Macaca mulatta: one gene and its partners. The protein of the gene in region 1 purifies or fractionates together with the protein of each later gene. This does not show direct contact. Links are inferred from orthologs where the notes say so. Each region holds a gene or a part of one and is shown in the gene's direction. Other genes may lie near its edges.

Evidence for each region. The genes of interacting proteins can lie anywhere in the genome.
Region 2: the proteins of REL (region 1) and NFKBIB purify together in Homo sapiens (affinity purification with mass spectrometry; 7 studies listed by BioGRID and IntAct, counting the BioPlex papers as one, with this or other methods). This does not show direct contact. The link is inferred for Macaca mulatta from reciprocal best matches to the Homo sapiens genes REL and NFKBIB.
Region 3: the proteins of REL (region 1) and TNIP2 purify together in Homo sapiens (affinity purification with mass spectrometry; 3 studies listed by BioGRID and IntAct, counting the BioPlex papers as one, with this or other methods). This does not show direct contact. The link is inferred for Macaca mulatta from reciprocal best matches to the Homo sapiens genes REL and TNIP2.

Annotation. Positions count from the first base shown.
Region 1 is NC_133418.1:63,901,032-63,905,109, reverse strand, and holds the start of REL (proto-oncogene c-Rel), read left to right. Parts: upstream 1-1,278; 5' UTR 1,279-1,586; coding exon 1,587-1,596; intron 1,597-1,746; exon of another isoform or gene 1,747-4,078. UniProt on the Homo sapiens protein: Proto-oncogene that may play a role in differentiation and lymphopoiesis.
Region 2 is NC_133424.1:50,002,191-50,005,690, forward strand, and holds part of NFKBIB (NF-kappa-B inhibitor beta), read left to right. Parts: intron 1-69; coding exon 70-175; intron 176-257; coding exon 258-591; intron 592-3,359; coding exon 3,360-3,448; intron 3,449-3,500. UniProt on the Homo sapiens protein: Inhibits NF-kappa-B by complexing with and trapping it in the cytoplasm.
Region 3 is NC_133410.1:2,892,562-2,896,061, reverse strand, and holds part of TNIP2 (TNFAIP3-interacting protein 2), read left to right. Parts: intron 1-2,336; coding exon 2,337-2,627; intron 2,628-3,500. UniProt on the Homo sapiens protein: Inhibits NF-kappa-B activation by blocking the interaction of RIPK1 with its downstream effector NEMO/IKBKG.

The DNA of each region.
Region 1 (4,078 bases):
TTTTTTTTTGGTCTTTGCACCCTCTTCAGCGGATTGCCTGTGATGTGCATCATGGTATGTTTTAGTACGTATCCAATAATAAAACTGTTTCATTCTTTTGTTGTACATTGTGCATTTCGTGGAAAGAATACTTTGGAGTTGGCGGGATATTTTTAATTATTTGCCCACCTGGGTCCCCCAGTTTTGGGCACTTGTATGGCAGGCTGATACTCCCCATTCCCTCTCCGTACTTATTTTAACTAGTAAGGGATGGGGCAAGGGTATGGAGCTTTGGAGTCAGACAACCCTGGCTTTTTTAAACTGTGCCTTTTCTTACCAGCATTTGGAAGTGCTGTATATTGAAGTAACTTCTCTGAACCCCGAATACTTCATCTATACAATTAGGAATAATAAATACGTCATAGATTAGGTATAGACATTATCTGACGCATAGCAGGTACTATTCAAATGAAGGAAACGAAGTTATCCTAGGTCCTTTAATGCACTAAATGTTTGCTCCATTTCCCCCTTTCTTGGTATCTGTGTGAAATCTCAGGATACAGTGTCCACTAAACTTCAGCGCACTGCGTAATGAGACAACGACCTGGATGTGCGGACCTTTTGAGTTTAAACGGGTTTCAGTAGGTAAAAGACGTAAAGTTCACAGTACCCTCGCAATTTAGATAGAAAGAGGAAAAAATCAGCCGGGTGGGGGGGTCCCCGTATGCAAATAGAGGAATTATAGAAGAAGACAGGCTCTGCCGCAGCCGCACTTCCCCCTCCGCGCTGGCGCGGGGGTGGAGATTTGCATGCGCGAAGTCGGGAAGAGGGGGAACCACCTCTCGAAAACCCCGGGCGTCGCCCTCCCCGGCCTGGAGGGTCGGCCCCGCTCGGCCGCCCGGCGCGCCCCTAAAAGCTCCCGGGCGGCCGGCCCTCTCTACGTCATCCGCACCCCCCCGCCCGCTCCTGAACTTTAAACCACACTCGGAAGAACAACCTGGAGGAGGGGGATTTCGCGGGAGCCGGCGGCCTTCTCACGCTGCGACCTCCCGGCTGCCGCCGTTCCCTGTGCTCCCGAAGCCCACCCCAAGCTCCCGCTCCCTCGACCCCCTCCCAAGCCCGCCGCCGCAGCAGCGCCGGGGGCGTACGCGCCGGGGCGGACGGTGAGCGTGAGCGGGGGCGGGCAGGGCGGGGCGCTGGGGGCGGTCGCGCGCGCGACGGCAGCTAGGACGCCCCGCCCCACGCCTCCGGCTTGAAGGCTGCGCCGGGCCTACGTCAGCCGCGGGAAATTCCCCTCCCGCCAGGCTGCCAGCCTCTCGGCCTGGCCGGCACTCGGCTCTCGCCCTGCTGCGCCCCCTGCCCCTGGCTCCCGCACGGTGGACGGGCGACGCTGGTGACCCGGAGCGCAAGAATTCAGGGGGTGGGAAGGTGTGAGCCGCAAACCCAGCGGAGGGCGGGAAGAAGGAGGAGGACCCTGGGGTGGTCGGGGGACTGGGGGCCCCGCCGGCAGAGGTCCCTCGGCCTCCTGACTGACTGACTGACTGACCACGGCCGCCTCTGGCCAGGACGCCGGGAACTGCCTGCGGGAAGGTGCGGGGAACGGAGCCATGGCCTCCGGTGAGTGTTCCGGGTCGGGGACCTGGGCCGGGGGGAAGGAGCTTTTCTTGGGGTCCTGCCGCTGTGAGTTTAGGGAGCTCAGTTTTGGCTGGGGCGCGTTCTGTCTTTAAAATCTCATATGGTAAAATTGTCAGCTTTTAAAAAAGTTACCTGTTTCAGGGCTTGCGTGCAAAATCCAAGCCGCGGTCTGTAATTTGATCCTGTTGTCATAGCAGGAAACTTATAAATTCCTAATGACTTGATTTTAGGATTAGGGAAGTCATAAGCGAACTAAAGGAGGACGAGGAGTTCTCATGTTAAAAATGGATATGTATTGAAGTGGTGGTTTTATGTTTTAGAACAAGAATGAGGAACCTTCAAACCTCGGGCAAGCTCTCTCCCCCTTTTTAATTTCGTCAAATGCAAAGAGGTGATCCCCCTTGTACTGACAGTTGTACAAAATGCTGCACGGCTTTAAAAATCATTCGTGGTATTTTAACACGAATTTAAAAATCCGTGGTATTTTAAGTGTTAATGTTGCATCGACCAGGTGTAGGCCGGGCGCGGTGGCTCACGCCTGTAATCCCAGCACTTTGGGAGGCCGAGGCGGGCGGGTCATCTGAGGTCGGAAGTTCGAGACCAGCCTGGCGAACATTTTGAAACTCCGTTTCTACTGAAAATACAAAAATTAGTCTGGCGTGGTGGCGCACGCCTGTAATCCCAGCTACTCGGAAGGCTGAGGCAGGAGAATCGCTCGAACCTGGGCGAGGTGGAGGTTGCAGTGAGCCAAGATCGCGCCCCTTCTCTCCAGCATGGGCGACAGAGACCCTGTCTCTATTAAAAAAAAAAAAAATAGAGTGTGTAATTTTTACTGTGAGATAAAGCACACAGTTTCTAATCTGACGAATAGAGACGTTGAATCCCCCTTCCTTCCCGCTGGAAATAAGGGGAAAGAGGAGTTTTAGAATATCCGTGCTTTAAAATAATGGGTAGTAGTGAATACAACTTTATCACTTATTTGACTGTATATTTTCCCTTAATAAATGCTCGATCTCTCCCTTTGGGGGGAAATAAATTTATAAGAAACATTGCAGAGCAGGGAAGAGCCTCCTGTATGCACAGACGTGGTTTCGGGGTGCCTGGAGCTCAAGGTTGGGGGGACGGGAGAGCCGGGGTGGTGGGAGAAATTAAGTAGCCTGGGTTCGAGTTGGTCTTTTACCAGGATTTTGCCAAGGTGAGTGGGGGGCGCTTTCCAGACAGAGGAAGCAGCGTGAGCAAAGGCAGGGAGGGCTAAATGCATATGTTAAATGCTGTACCTAAGAGAGTGAAGACGGGGCACCGTTTATGAACTTGACTCGCATCCCAAAACTGCCTGGTCCAGTGACCCTCAGAAGTTGGTTGATGTCTAGTGGAGATGAGGAAGTAGGAAGTTTAAAGAACCTTTCTAAAAGGTTGAGCAGAACAATGCCATAGCTACTGCTGTAGGCAGAAAAGGAAATTGGGGTGTTTCACATGACATTTGATTTCAGTTTGTCTGTGGTTGTGAGAATACTAAGTGAAGTTTAAAATATTTCAGCTTTCCCTTTTCCCACTTAAGTGACACCAGACTTTCAGATAATCCTGTAAATTTGTGAATTCAAAGCATGTGTAGATTAGAAGTGCTAAGATGACTTCAAATGTTTTGTTAATTTATTGGTTATCAGAAAGATTTTGTTTGGAAGTAATGAAGAATGCCTAGCATTGTAAGTTAAGTTCAGCCTCTTGGCGATTTAATCAAACTTTATTGATGTATTGCATAAATGTAATACTTACAATTTTTTCAAATGAGAGAGGAAACAACCATTTCTGTATAGAGTATTGTTAAGACCCACAGGATTTTAAAATGTAATACAATTTAAATTTGTTCATTGACACTGTATTTTGTGCTGTTGTGAGGAGGAAGGATTCCCTAAAAGTAAGGAGGAAATGTTTAAAGAAATAGAAAATTTTAAAGGTTTAGAAGTTGAAGGGTGATTAACTTTTTGTTTTTTTGGTCTTTTCTCAAGAGTTGCATTAAAATGGCACTATTTAAAATGTAGCAAGTTATTTAAATTGTAATTCAGTTGTTAGAAAACTGCCAAGCCTGGAATTAAAAAAAAAAAAAAAAGAAAATGTTTAAAGGAATCTGTGTACTTTTCCTTAATCTGTTATAAAGACCTTAGAGATAGAAAAAGATTCAGTAATGAAATTCTAAATTCCTATTCTGTTTTGAAACAGCAATTTAACCAGAAAAGTGACACACACAAAAAAAAAAGAAAAAGAAATTGCTTAGTTTTTCGTTGTCTAGTTTAGATTCTCTTTGTAGTAAGGTAGTATTAAAACCTCAAAAAGTACTTTTATTCATTACAAAGCATTTAAGAGCATTTCTTCATTTCTCACCAGATGTCATATGTAAATAGGTATAAGTGTTGATTATGTGATAGCCATGATGTAAAAGTAACATAAATCATAATCTTACAAGCAA
Region 2 (3,500 bases), on another chromosome or scaffold:
CATGTTTGTCGAATGAAGGAATGCAAGAGGACTTGAACTTTGCCCTCTGACCCCGGTCTTTGTCCCCAGGGCACTGCACTTGGCCGTGATTCATCAGCATGAACCCTTCCTGGATTTTCTTCTAGGCTTCTCAGCTGGTACTGAGTACATGGACCTGCAGAATGACCTAGGCCAGGTGAGCCACGAGGGGATGGTGTAGGGCTTGGGGTCCAGGGTCCCCAGTGTGACTCCCTACCGCCTGTCCTCTGCTTCTGCAGACGGCCCTGCACCTGGCAGCCATCCTGGGGGAGGCATCCACGGTGGAGAAGCTGTATGCAGCAGGCGCCGGGCTGTGCGTGGCGGAGCGTAGGGGCCACACGGCGCTGCACCTGGCCTGCCGTGTGGGAGCACACGCCTGTGCCCGTGCCCTGCTTCAGCCCCGCCCCCGGCGCCCCAGGGAAGCCCCCGACACCTCCCTCGCTCAGGGCCCTGACCATACTCCCGACACCAACCACACCCCTGTCGCCTTGTACCCCGATTCCGACTTGGAGAAGGAAGAAGAGGAGAGTGAGGAGGACTGGAAGCTGCAGCTGGAGGCTGAAAACTACGAGGGTGAGGGTCGTGCATCATCAGGGAAGGACTCAGCTCCCGGGCTAGGCGAGAGCACCTGGCCCTGGGCTCAGCTTCCCTGATTCGAGACCGAGCTCCTTGGGAAATCATACCTAGGCTTCAGGAGCCCAGACATTGGGACCAGGGACCTCCACTCAGGGTCCAGATGATTGAGAATTGGATATGTAGGACCCAGGACCCCCACCTGGAGGCCCCAGGTCACTTGGGATGCAGACCTGTCACCCACAGACCCAGAGCTGCCAGGATCCAGTTGTTGGGCCCCCAGGCTCCCCACCTGCAGAATGCATTGCAGCTGGGATCCCTACCCCACCCAGGACCAGGGAATGCAGAGCTCAGGCCCTCTGTGAAACTCTGGCACCCCAGGTTCCCAGCGATGGGCAGCAGGGTTCAGAGACAGCCCTCCTTAGCCTCATGGGAAGAAGGGCTTATCTGCCCACAGCCCTAACATCCAAGTTTCTGTTTCCCTGCCTATAAGCCCAGCCACCTGAGACCAGACCCCTCCTCAGATGGACTGAGGTCATTCAGGACCCAGTGTTCAGGGCCTACCTCTCAGCCCCAGGTCACAGGCTTTTCAGCTACTTGGTACCTTTTTTTTTTTTTTTTTTTTTTTTTGAGATAGAGTCTCGCTCTGTTGCCCAGGTTGGAGTGCAGTGGCGCCATCTTGGCTCACTGCAACCTCCACCTCCCAGGTTCAGGTGATTCTCCTGCTTCAGCCTCCTGAGTTGCTGGGATTACAAGGATTACAGGCACATGCTACCATGCCCAGCTTATTTTTGTATTTTTAGTGGAGACGGGGTTTTACCATGTTGACCAGGCTGGTCTTCAACTCCTGGCCTCAGGTGATCTGCCCGCCACGGCCTCCCAAAGTGCTGGGATTATAAGTGTGAGCCACCGTGCCTGGGCAGCAACCTTAATTTAAGGTTTTTTTTTTTTTTGACATGGAGTCTCGCTCTGTCACCCAGGCTGGAGGGCAGTGGCGCTATCTTGGCTCACTGCAAGCTCCACCTCCCGGGTTCATGCCATTCTCCTGCCTCAGCCTCCCGAGTAGCTGGGACTACAGGTGCCCACTACCACACCCAGCTAATTTTTTGTATTTTTAGTAGAGACGGGGTTTCATCATGTTAGCCAGAATGGTCTGGATCTCCTCACCTCGTGATCTGCCCGCTTCAGCCTCCCAAAGTGCTGGGATTACAGGCGTGAGCCACTGTGCCCGGCCAATTTAAGTTTGTTTTAAAGATGATCTCACTGTCACCCAGGCTGGAGTGCAGTGACACCATCACAGTGTGCTGCACCCTTGATCTGCACTTAAATGATCCTCTGGTCTCAGACTTCCAAGTAGCTAGGACTACAGGTGTGCACCACCACACTTGGCTAATTTTTTATTTATTGTTTATTCTTTTTGTTTGTTTGTTTTTTTGAGATGGAGTCTTGCTCTATTGCCCAGGCTGGAGTGCAGTGGTGTGATCTTAGCTCACTGCAACCTCTGCCTCCCGGTTTCAAGCGATTCTTTTGCCTCAGCCTCCTGAGTAGCTGGGGCTACAGGCATGTGCCACCATGCCTGGTGCCACCACGCCTGGCTATTTTTTTGTTTTTTTGTTTTTTTTGAGACAGAGTCTCGCTCTGTTGCCCAGGCTGGAGTGCAGTGGCTGGATCTCAGCTCACTGCAAGCTCCGCCTCCCGAGTTTACGCCATTCTCCTGCCTCAGCCTCCCGAGTAGCTGGAACTACAGGCGCCCGCCACCATGCCCAGCTAGTTTTTTGTATTTTTTTAGTAGAGACAGGGTTTCACCGTGTTAGCCAGGATGGTCTCGATCTCCTGACCTCGTGATCCGCCCGTCTCGGCCTCCCAAAGTGCTGGGATTACAGGCTTGAGCCACTGCGCCCGGCCTATTTTTTTGTATTTTTAGTAGAGACGGGGTTTCACCATGTTAGGATGGCCTCAGTCTCCTGACCTCGTGATCCTCCCGCCTCAGCTTCCCAAAGTGCTGGGATTATAAGTGTGAGCCACCATGCCGGGCCTATTCTTTTTTCTTTGAGATGGAGTTTTGCTTGTCACCAAGGCTGGAGTGCAGTGGTGCTATCTCGGCTCACTGCAAGCTCTGCCTCCCGGGTTCACACCATTCTCCTGCCTCAGCCTCCTGAGTAGCTGGGATTACAGGCATGTGCCACCAGGCCCAGCTAATTTTTGTATTTTTAGTGGAGACAGGGTTTCACCATGTTGGCCAGGCTGGTCTGGAACTCCTGACCTCAAATGATCTGCCTGCCTCGGCCTCCCACAGTGCTGGGATTACAGGCGTGAGCCACCGTGCCCAGCCTTTATTTTTTATTTTTAGTAGAGACGAGGTCTTGCCATGTTGCCCAGGCTGCTTCTTGAACTCCTGGGCTCAAGTGATCCTCTTGCTTTGGCCTCTCAAAGTGCTGGGATTACAGGTGTGAGCCAGCATGCCAGCTCAGGTCCTTTGTGAAGTAAGAGCAGAGACTTGGGTCTACACCTGGCCCCAAAATCCAGACCCCCTGTCCACAGAACCCAGGCTCTTTACCCACGGGCCCCAGGCTTCGAACAACCCAGGCCTAGCACTTGCCAGCAAGCTCAGGCCATCCAAGACAGGACCCAGGTACCTCTTTGCCATACCCACGAATTCAGGAACCAGCCCCCAAACCTGATCACCCTCAGGCCACGTGACCCTCCCTCAGGATCAAAGCACAGGGGGGACCCCTCACCTCATCTGACACCAATCACTCTGTCCCCAGGCCACACCCCACTCCATGTGGCCGTTATCCACAAAGATGTGGAGATGGTTCGGCTGCTCCGAGATGCTGGAGCTGACCTTGACAAACCGGTGAGCCCCAACCTGGGGGAAGGTGCCGTCGGCGGGAGGGGGCTTATCCCGC
Region 3 (3,500 bases), on another chromosome or scaffold:
GCTTCTGGGGGAAGCTTGGGCTCCTCCCTGACTTTTCTGAAACTGTTTCTTCACTTGTGGGATGGACTAGTTGTGCCTGCTTCACCTCCTTCATGTAATGTACTGTTTATTTTGGAGGAGTCTTTGAAAATGGAAAAGCACAAATTTAAGGCCAGGTGTTAAAAAATTGTCAGGTCAGATGTGGTGGCTCTTGCCTGTAATCCCAGCACTTTGGGAAGCTGAGGCAGGCAGATCACTCAAGTCCAGGACCAGCCTGGGCAACATGGTGAAACCTTGTCTCTACAAAAAATAGAGAAATTAGCTAGGTACAGTGGCCTGCACTTGTTGTCCAACTCATTAGGGTGCTGAGGCAAGGGGATCACTTGAACTTGGGAGGTCGAGGCTGCAGTGAACCATGATGGCACCACTGTACTCCAGCCTGGGTGACAGGGCAAGCCCCTGTCTCAAAAAAAATTGTCATTTTAAGAACCTTTTTCATTTCTTTAAGAAGTAATTGGGGTTGGGTGTGTTAATTTCCTAGAGCTGCTGTAACAAAGTAACACAAACGGGGGGGGGGGGGTGCGGGGGGAGGGGTAAGCTTCCACCAACAGCAATGTAATCTTTCACAGTTCTAGAGGCCAGAAGCCGGAAACGAAGGCATCGGCTCTCTCTGAAGGTCCTAGGGAAGAACGCGCTTCCTCGCCTCTTCAGCTTCCTGTGGGGGCCGCCAATCATTGGTGTTCCTTGGCCTTTATCTACAAGACAAGATGTCACTCATATCTTTGTTGTCACATGGCCTCCTTCTGTGTGTCTGTCCAGACTTCCGTCTTCTTCTTAGGACACCAGTCCCGTCCTAATCCAGTTTGTCCTCACCTTAACTAATTACATCTGCAAAGACCCTATCTCTAAATAAGGTTTCGTTCCCAGATACTGGGGAATGGGGGGTTTGGTTGTGGACATCTTTTGGGGGTTGCCCACTACAGTGGAGTTTCTACCTTTCCTATCAAAAAAGTGCTTGGAATTGCCACTTTGATAATTTGATGAAAACTGCATGTAGTGGCTTGAGCCTGTAGTCCCAGCTATTCCGGAGGCTGGGGTGGGGGGATTTGCCTGAGCCTAGGAGTTGAAGACCAGCCTGGGCTATATATAGCGAGACCCTCATTTCAAAACAACATCTTGATGATACGAAATCTAAAATGATGTGCTTGCTTGTGAAAACAGAATTTGGCGGGGTACGGTGGCCCACACTGTCATCCCAGCACTTTGGGAAGCCAGGGCGGCTGAATTGCTCGAGTCCAGGAGTTCAAGACCAGCCTGAGCATCACAGCAAAACCCTGTCTCTACAAAATACAAAAATGTTAGCCAGGCACAGTGGCACGTGCTGTAGTCCCAGCTACTCAGGTTAGGATGGAGAATCGCTTGGGCCTGGGGAGGCCGAGGCTGCAGGGAGCCATGATTATGCCACTGCACTCTAGCCTGGGTGACAGTGAGACCCTGCCTCAAAAAAAAAAAAGGGCTGGGCATGGTGGCTCACGCCTATAATCCTAGTACTTTGGGAGGCCGAGGCGGGCAGATCACCTGAGGTCAGGAATTCAAGACTAGCCTGGCCAACATGGTGAAACCTTGTCTCTACTAAAAATACAAAAATTGGGCCAGGCGCGGTGGCTCACGCCTGTAATCCCAGCACTTTGGGAGGCCGAGGTGGGTCGATCACGAGGTCAGGAGATCGAGACCATCCTGGCTAACACAGTAAAACCCCATCTCTACTAAAAGTACAAAAAATTAGCTGGGCATGGTGGCGGGCACCTGTAGTCTCAGCTACTCGGGAGGCTGAGGCAGGAAAAAGGCGTGAACCTGGGAGGCGGAGCTTGCAGTGAACCGAGATTGTGCCACTGCACTCCAGCCTGGGTGAGAGCAAGACTCTGTCTCAAAAAAAAAAAAAATACAAAAATTAGCCGGGTGTGGTGGTGGGCGCCTATAATTCCAGCTACTGTGGAGGCTGAGGCAGGAGAATCACTTGGATCTGGGAGGTGGAGGTTGCAGTGAACCGAGATCATGCCACTGCACTCCAGCCTGAGCAACAGAGTGAGACTCTGTCTCAAAAAAAAAAAAAAAAAAAAAATTTTAAGATGAAGTTTCAGAACAGAACATTGTAGGCTGAAAAACTCCAGAGTTAATAGTTCAAATGCCCGACTTCTGAGTGAGTAATTGTTAGTTCAGATGCCCGACTTTGGAGTGAGTGTGTTTGTGTCTGGTGCTGGGGCATCCATGCCAGGTCTCCTTTTGGTTTCTGAACATTTGCTCTCAACACTGCTTCTTTTAATTCAGTAAACTGTGCTTTTAAATCTTCCACTTAGGAAATTGAGAGGCTGACTGAACGACTAGAAGAAAAAGAGAGGGAGATGCAGCAGCTACTGAGCCAGCCCCAGCACGAGCGAGAGAAGGAAGTCGTCCTGCTACGGAGGAGCATGGCGGAAGGGGAGCGCGCCCGGGCCGCCAGTGATATCCTGTGCCGCTCCTTGGCCAACGAGACCCATCAGCTACGGAGGACGCTGACCGCCACTGCCCACATGTGTCAGCATCTGGCCAAGTGTCTGGATGAACGACAGCATGCACACAGGAATGTGGGGGAGAGAAGTCCTGACCAGGTAGGCCACCGTGTAAGATTGTGGTGAAGAACCCTGTGTACTGGGAGCATTGCCTACAGGCCCCGATCACAGAGGCCAGGGGCTGTCCCAGAACCCAGTCTGTTCTCAGCAGCGAGAGTCAGCTGACGGGACAAAGCTCGCTCATCCAAGGGTTTCTTTTAAAATGATGGAACATGCACAGTGTAATAGGAAAGCAGGCAGCCACCGCACTGCCCAGCACCAGGCCTGTAGCTGACCCTGCTCCCAGGTGGGAGGTGGCACCTGGCTTTCATCTGCCTCAGCTGAGGATGAGGAGGAAGACATGAGGGTGGCAGAGCTGCATGGAGGAAGTGCAGTCACATCCTCCTCATCTGAGGAAACTGAAGCAGAGCCGGGTGGTACTGCTGGGGACAGGGAGTGCCTCCAGTTCCACACCCAGAACTCCCGGAAGGACCGTGAGTCGCCTTCTGCAGGCTCAGTGTGTCTGAGTGGATCTGGGCACAGCTGGAACCGCCATCTCCAAAGCTGGCGTTAGGCATGTCCTTGCCAGCAGCGCGACCTCCCACAAGCTTGGAGACCTGTCTCAGGGTCACAGCCTCCTCATCAAAGCAGGGGACAGCGGTGCCAGGTGACAGTGAGGGCCAAAGAAGGGTTCACTGGACCTCCAGGATAGGCTGGATCTGGGCTGTAGCTCTCTGTGGGGTCCAGTGGGAGAGAGAGGAACTGTGGGAGTTTCAGCATCAGGAGAAACCAGGAGGCTCCTAGGCAGAAGAGTAGGGAGCAGCGGCCACGGCATGTGTGTGCCAGGTGCTGTGGCCAGTGTGAGCCAGCCACCTTCCATCTCGCTGGTGCCCGTGGTGTCTGTGTGTGGCAGGCGGGGAAATGGAGGCACTC